Rhinolophus ferrumequinum: one gene and its partner. The protein of the gene in region 2 interacts with the protein of the main gene of each other region in a pairwise test. Links are inferred from orthologs where the notes say so. Each region holds a gene or a part of one and is shown on either strand. Other genes may lie near its edges.

Evidence for each region. The genes of interacting proteins can lie anywhere in the genome.
Region 1: the proteins of CDA (region 2) and PLEKHB2 interact in binary tests that used the Homo sapiens proteins (3 or more experiments, as listed by UniProt). The two-hybrid records come from large-scale screens. The link is inferred for Rhinolophus ferrumequinum from reciprocal best matches to the Homo sapiens genes CDA and PLEKHB2.

The regions. Positions count from the first base shown.
Region 1 is NC_046293.1:92,344,527-92,348,273, forward strand, and holds the start of PLEKHB2 (pleckstrin homology domain-containing family B member 2), read left to right. Parts: upstream 1-1,279; 5' UTR 1,280-1,286; coding exon 1,287-1,395; intron 1,396-1,835; exon of another isoform or gene 1,836-1,855; intron 1,856-3,747. UniProt on the Homo sapiens protein: Involved in retrograde transport of recycling endosomes.
Region 2 is NC_046292.1:13,889,012-13,892,758, forward strand, and holds the start of CDA (cytidine deaminase), read left to right. Parts: upstream 1-1,108; 5' UTR 1,109-1,201; coding exon 1,202-1,355; intron 1,356-3,747. UniProt on the Homo sapiens protein: This enzyme scavenges exogenous and endogenous cytidine and 2'-deoxycytidine for UMP synthesis.

The DNA of each region.
Region 1 (3,747 bases), on a different chromosome or scaffold from region 2:
TACATACAGAAAAAAGAACACATCTTAAGTGTTCAGCTTGAAATGTTTATACATGTACCCACCATTCAGGAGTAGGTTTGACAGGAGTTTCCCTCACAGCATTTCCCAGGCAGTATCCTTACCCCAGTCCAGGAGTCCATCCCGCTGCTACCCCACCCCCTCAGTTCCACACGGGCTTAAATAACATCTTAAAAGTTTAGCAGTAATGATAATCAAATTTCCCCTTTTCCCTCCGTTAAAAAAAATAGTCTTTTAATTTTGGAATATTCTTAGATTTGAAGATAAGTTACAAAGATAGTACACGCTTCACTCAGTTTCCCCTAATGTTAACATATAACCAAGGTACAATTGTCAAAACTAAAAGTTACTCATCATTACTATTAACTAAAATAAAGACTTTTTGGAATTTAACAATTATTTCACTAACATCCTTGTTTTTTCGTTCCAGGATTCCACCGGGACACCATATTACATGTGACAGTTTCTCAGTCTTTTCTTGTTTTTCATTACTTTGATAGTTTTGAGCAGTACTGGTGAGGTATTTTGTGGAATGTCCCTTAAGTATTATTTGTCTGATGTTTTTCTCATAGATAGACTGGGGCTATCAACACGACTTAGCACTGTCGATGTTAACCTTGATCTCATGGTTGAGTAGTGTTTGTCAGGTTTCTCCTCTGTAAAGTTATTTTTCTCCCTTCCCATTATGTACTCTCTTGGAGGAAGTCACTATTCACAGCCCACACTCAGGGTTGGGTGGTTGGAGAATAATACCGTCTCGGGATGGAGTATGATTAAGATTCTTCTATAAGGAAGATGTATCTTTTCTTCCCATTAATGTATTTTAATCATTTATTACAGCAGAATGAACTCTAGTATACTTTATACTCTGTTATAGTCTGACACTACGTAATTTATTTTGTTGCTCCAATTGTTCTAAGTTTGGCCATTGGGAGCTTTTTCAGGGTGACTCCTGTGTCCTTTCACGTGCCTCCACGCTTTTATTTTTTGAGCATTCTTTACGTCTTGTGCTACAGGATGCCCCAGATTCAGCTTATACTTTTCCGTGCTCCAGTTACAGTCACTCATTTCTCTAAGGAGCCCTGGCTCCTTTTATTGGAGGATGGTGTTTAGAAGTAAGAACGGGGTGCAGACAATTCCTTTTTGGTTGAAAATTAACCCGGGACTTAGGCAGGGACGAGGACGCCCAAACCCAAACGCGCCCCGCCACCTGGGCTCGCCCGGCCGTACTGCAACCCCCGGCCTGCGTGCGCCGGCGGGGCGTGCGCATGCGCAGCGGGCAGGAACGCGGTCCGGCTGAGCCGAGGACCCAGCGGCGACCTTGCGCTCCCTTTATGCTTCGGTGCGCGGAGGCTGCCGCCGCCCGGGTATTCGCAGGTGAAGGCCCAGTCTGGTCGCGGTGACCCCAGACTCCCTGGGGCTGCCCGGCCCCCCTTTCCCCGCCTCCTTCCCTCGCTGGGCATCGGCTCCCGTGGAGCCTCCCCGAGAGCTTCCCACTCCCGCGCGCCCCTCGGCCTCTCCTCGCCCCTCCTCTCCCCGGCCCGTTCGGCCTCTCCTGGAGCCGGTGCCCCGCCGCCAACCCCCGCTCCTGGCCGGCCTGCGCCCCCCACCGCCGCCTCGCAGGTGCTCCCCGCGGGCCGCCGCTTCCCCAGGTCCGGGCCTCGGGCCGCAGGAGTCCGGCTCCTCTTGCGCTCTTCTCCCGCGGGCCTTGCGCCCTCCTCCGGGTGCCGCGGTGGCCGAGCGGCGGCGCTCACTGCCAGGCCCGCGCCGCGTCGTTCCCCTCCTCGTGGTTGTGCGGTGCCCGTAGCTCTGTGTGCGTGCTTGGACCGTATTTATAGTGAGGCTTTGTTTCACGTTTGATTCTCACCCGACTGGATTGGGAACTCCGGTGGACGTCAGGGATTTTTGTTTCGCGTCGGCCCAAGATTTTTTGTTTGTTTTTAAATCTGAAATGTAGCGTAATTGACATAGAAGAGGCTTCGTAAATGAACGAATAATAAAGTTCCGGTTTTTCGGGGTCGGTGGAGGAAATGAATGAGGTGGGAAGGTCACATTGTCAAAAAACCTAGGGGAACGTGGTGAATTCCCAACGCCTTGGACTCCTGGCCCCCGAGAACCTTTAGTTCCCAGACTGGGAGCCACACCGCCCGAGGGCGGAGCGCAGCCATCCAAAGGGAGGAAGGTTCCTGGGCCTCAAGGTATTGAGGAAACTAGTGCCAGTGCCGGAAGTGACTTGTGTAAAGTCACACGGGGAACTTATGGCCTTTAATATTTATTGAACAACGTAATGACCAAAAGACCCGTGTCTGTGTGTTGTGCAGTGGGAGTGCCTAAGGGCCAGACTGAGTGGGAATGCGCCTGCTACTGGTTCTCGGTGCGCTAGAGTGTTTCCTAGGTCCGCGAAGCTTCTCATCCTGGGCTGCTGGTTATTGATGGGACGTAGGAGACCCTCTGGCTGGGCAGGTGCTTGTCTGGGCTCCCCTTGGGCCTGGGGTTCGGTAGTGCTTTCTTTACTTGACTCCCCACTCCCTCATCCCCAATCTCAGGGCAGGAATGGAGCTTACGTTGCAGCATCATCCTTGGCACCTAACAGTGTCTGGTGCTTTGTAGGTGGTCAGTAAATGCTTACTGATGCTACCAAACCGGAAGAGGGCCCGGCCATTTAACTGCAGCAGGGCCAAACACTGAACACTAAGTTTTGCAGTAGAGAAGTTAGAACTGTTTATTGATAGGGCGACAAGCTAAGAGAACAGCAATCTATTGCTGACAACCCGAACTCCCCATGGTTTTTAATCATGGGTCTTTAAAAGCAGAAATTGAGCGGTGGAGGTCAGGAGCGAAACTGATGGGTTAGTTCTTCAGCAAGCTTTTAGCAGTTTTCCTGAGTCTCATTAATTCAGTTCCTGACATCATCTTGTCTGGAGTCTTCCTCACTCTGGTCAGGTGATATAACTGGGTTGAGAAACCAAGATTCTGGAAAATATCTCCTGATTGTGTCGGTGATGTTTATCTTTAAAACAAAAGGCAGAAACTAAACATCTTATGATCATTGTTACTGTTAAAGCTATCATTGCTGTATGCTTAACTGGCTACATTTTTCTATTATCTCAAGCTAAGTGTACTTGTAAACATTTTTCCTGGAACTTTACAGGCAGGCCTCCAGGACGAGACTGACATACTTTCTTAATCTTTGACTATAAGCTGCATAGCAACCAAAGCAATTGCAACATTTAGTTAAAGCCTGTAGAACATCCCTATACTCTATGAGCTAATACCTAAACATGTTTACTGTTAACTGTTGGTTTCACTGAAGGAAGCTGCAGAAAAACAACTCAGAACCTGACAACAGTTCTTTACTAGCATTGTATTTTTAATGGTGTGAACGCATTCTGTAAATTTCCTGATAATCTCAAGGACCGAATTTATGAAATGTGTACACCAGTGATATAGGAAGAACAGATACCATCCCTATAGTCATATTTATTATTCCTTGGCAAGATAGAGGTTTTTCTTCAGTCTCTCTAGCTGCTTTGCTACGCTTCCCAGCTTGCCATCCTACATTAATACTTTGTTTCTTTCTCCGTTTTTACTGGATATCTAAATAAATTAAAGAATTACTTTATTAGTGTAACTACCAGAAACTGCAGAATAACATAAACAATTAAAAATGTTACAAAAAGTGGGTTAGTTGAACCAGTCATGTCTTATTTATGGTTGTGTATTTTCTTC
Region 2 (3,747 bases):
GTAATCGTCAAGCATGGGGGGCATTGTGACTAGTAAGCAAGTCTAAGTTTCAGGGTATTATCTAAAGCAGGGAATTGGAACAGGGGCACCGAGCCCAGGAACAGGGACGGGGACATTCCAAGCTCAAATCGCAGGGAGGGGGTTGACCAATTGTTAAGCTCTAGGGCAGGGCTCTCCTGGGCAAGGTCTCTTTTGTGGGGGTCCCAACCACGCCCTGTTTCACACCCATTTTACTTTTACAGATGAGGAAATTGAGGATTCGAGAGGTGGTATTAACTTCCCAAGGTCATATGGTTAATTCATGGCACATCTGGAACTCAAACAAGGGTCTGCTAAATGCCAAAACTTGAACTCTTCCGTGATCCCAGGATGTAGAACAGAGATTACCACTATCCCCACCACAGAGATGAGGAAATTGGCTCAGAGAGGTAAAGTAGCCTCCCCACAGTTATACATGCGGAACATGGTAGAATCAGGATGCAAACCTATTTCTTTTATCACCAACCCAGTGTCTACCTTGCCTGAGTAAAGGATCTCAGCAATTCCTTCCAGCGAGATGCTTTTTAATTCCGGGTTGAGACAGGGAACAGTTGGAAGGAGAACGGGTGAAAATAAAGAAGAGACTTGGTCTTGTTGCTGTACTTCACACTCCATGACTCAGAAAGCCAGTGTGGTTGGCCCAGATCCTGCCCTGTCAGCCTCATCCCTTCCCTCAGTGAAGATTAAAAAGTCATTCAGCCAACAGGGTTTGCAACCCTTGAAGCTTGGACTTCCTAGACCTCACGCTGACCCACCCAGCAGCTTTTTCCCTGAGGAGTGTGTGTCCACAGTCCCCATCTATCCAGGGACACTTGTTCCCTGATCCACTCACCTATCAGTGTGTAAGCAGTGAGAGTGGTTCCCAAAAGAGAGTGTGAAACACACATGGGCACAGTCATGTCCTTCCACCCTGGGACACACACCACACCCTCTGACCCCAAACCAGGGGGAACTCCTTTTCCCATTTGGCCCAGCCCAGCATCCCTCCAGGCTGGCAACTGGAAGCCTCCCCACAGGGACACACCCTGGGGGAGGAGCTGCTGTCCTGGCGTGTCCCAGCCCAGCCTAGCAGCGAGTTCCTTTACTGCTACTCTACCAGGTCCCAGCCCAGCCTGGCAGGGAGCTCCCGTTTCTGCTCCTCCACTGGCCCTGTGGGATTGACATGGCCCAGGAGCGTTCTGCCTGCACCCTGGACCTCAAGCACATCCAGCAGCTGGTGCTATCCTCCCAGGAGGCCAAGAAGGCTGCTTACTGCCCCTACAGCCACTTCCCCGTGGGGGCTGCCCTCCTCACCAGGTCCGGGAGGATCTTCTCAGGTAAGGCTGAGGGCTGAGCCCCTCTGACAGCCTGATAGGGGGAGGTCAGAAGAGGATAAGCAGGAAAGGCGGGAGGCTCAGGCAGGGCAGATGGCAGCTCTGTCCCCTCTTGGCTGCCCCCCACCCCAGTATAACCATTGGCCCCTGCTGCCCTGCCTAGTGTCCCAGACGGTAGGGATGAAGGTGCTGCTGAAATCTAGGTGGTTTCAGTCCTTGGAGGATTGGGAAGCCGTGGTGGGTTAAGGGAGGAGGTTGGAAGGAGAAGCCATAAATCAAAAGCATCAGCAGTCCTCTGTGCTGGGAGGGAGCGGGGCTAGTCCTTCCTGAGTCTTCCTCTGCGTGCCACAAGTTACATCAGCAAGTCCTCACCTCCAACCCACTGACCTAGGTGTCATGCCGTTTCTCAATGAAGAAACTGAGGCCCAGAGAGGTAACATGACTTGCTCAAGGTCACATAGGGCACTGGAAGTGGCACCCAGGGCTGTGGTCTCCAAAACGCTGCTTTCTTCCTGTCATCTACCATGGTGGCAAATGCCTGGAGGAGATAGGGAGGAATCCAGGTGGGGTGACTTGTTAATGGGGTACAGAAGGTCTTGGAGGAAAGAAGCCAGGTGGGGTTTGAGAGACCAGCAACAAATGCCAGCCTGGGAGGAGCAGACAGGAATCTGAGTTGGCACTAATCTGTCCTTAAGCTCTTTTTCTTTGGTTTGTTGGTTTTATAGAAAAGCTCACTTGAACAAAAATTCAAACTTGTCTTGGTTAAGCTAAGGGGCATTCTCTTTTAGGATAGTGGGAAAGGTGGTGTGGAGATGGCAGGGAGGTCATGGCCTCCCCACTGCTCCGATTTCCACAGAGGGAGAGAGGGACATGCCCAGAATGCCCTGCTGCCTGGAATCCCCCTTCCGCTTGGCAGCAGCTATTGAAAGGACCAGAGGCCCACATGTATACATCTAGTTGGTAACCCCCAGCAGGCCTGGGCCAAGTGGGAGCCACTCGCCTCCTCCACTGCTCAGGAGGGGCCCACACCTCCTCTTCTGTAGCGGCCCTTCTGGGGTCTCCTTGATATTCATGTTATTTCTTGTCTTTTGAGGTTCCGCATGGGTTTCAGGAGTCACCACCTGGGTCTTAAACATCTTTGAGCAGGAGAAGTAACCTTGACTGGGTGCTAGTATGTGAAAGGACCATCTCACCCTTACAACCCCGCAAGGCAGTTATTAGAGCGCCACTTTGCAGAGAAGGAAACAGAAGCTCAGAGAGGTTAAACGCCCAAGACCATGGATCTGGGATTCGAATCCAGAGTTCCCTTGTCTCCCAAGTTTGCTGGGGGGAATTCGGTGGGGAATAAAGAATCTGAGTGTCCTGTGGAAATTCAGGCTGGCCTGGTGGCTCAGATGAGTATTAAACATTAACCACCACCGCAAACAACGCTGCCACCCGCACTGGCCCATGGCACCAGAGCCTCGAACGTGGAATCAACCATTGATTCTTTCCAGTGCCTCCAACATGCTCTCTTCACCCTTGCATTGATCCATTTATTCAACAAATATTTGCCAAGCACCAATTATGTGCTAGGTAACGTATCAGGTGCTGGGGATACTGCAGCGAGCGGAAATGGCATATCCCCTGCCCACGTGGAGGTCCTCTCCTCTTGCACAGGCCATGGCTCAAAGTGGGAGCCTTGCCAGGGCTTGTAGGAGTGAATGAATGAGGGCAGCAGAAGCATAGCCTATTCAAATTGCAGGGGAGGACCTGGCGTCACCAAAGAAAGGGTTGTTGCCATGGGGATTTCGGGAGGCCCTCGCGGATGACCTGAAGACTCTGGGGTTAGAGGCTCCTCATTTTGAATCCTGGTGCTGCTGTTTATCAGCTGTGCGTTCCTGGGCAAGACGCTTGACCCTTCTGAGTCTCAGCTTACATTTGTAAATGGGGGATCATAATGTTCGCCTTTCAGGATGGCTGTGAACAGAGCTGGTTGGCCTGGCCCGGCGTGGCAGCCAAGGTCACCCCTGATTGTCGGTGCCCATGCCGCATCAGTCACTGAGTGTGTTGAATCTCACCCTGGTTGTGAGGCTTTAAATGAGCTAATGCCTCTAAAATGATTGGCACCGTTTCTGGCCCACAATAAGGGTGTCACAAATGGTGGCTGCTTTTACTTCTACTATTAATGGTCTGAGGCTAATGATATGATGATTTGGAGACAGATGGTGGAGGATTTTGGAAGGCCAAGCAGAGACATTACGATTTGATGAAGTAGGACGGAGGGAGTCAATGAATGTTATTAAGGAGAAGAATAACATGAAACTGGTGTTTGAGGGCAATTAGTCTGACAGGTACTCAAGAAGGGCTGGGGCAGAGGAAAGAGTATCAGGGGCCCGTGTCTACCCTGTTCGCT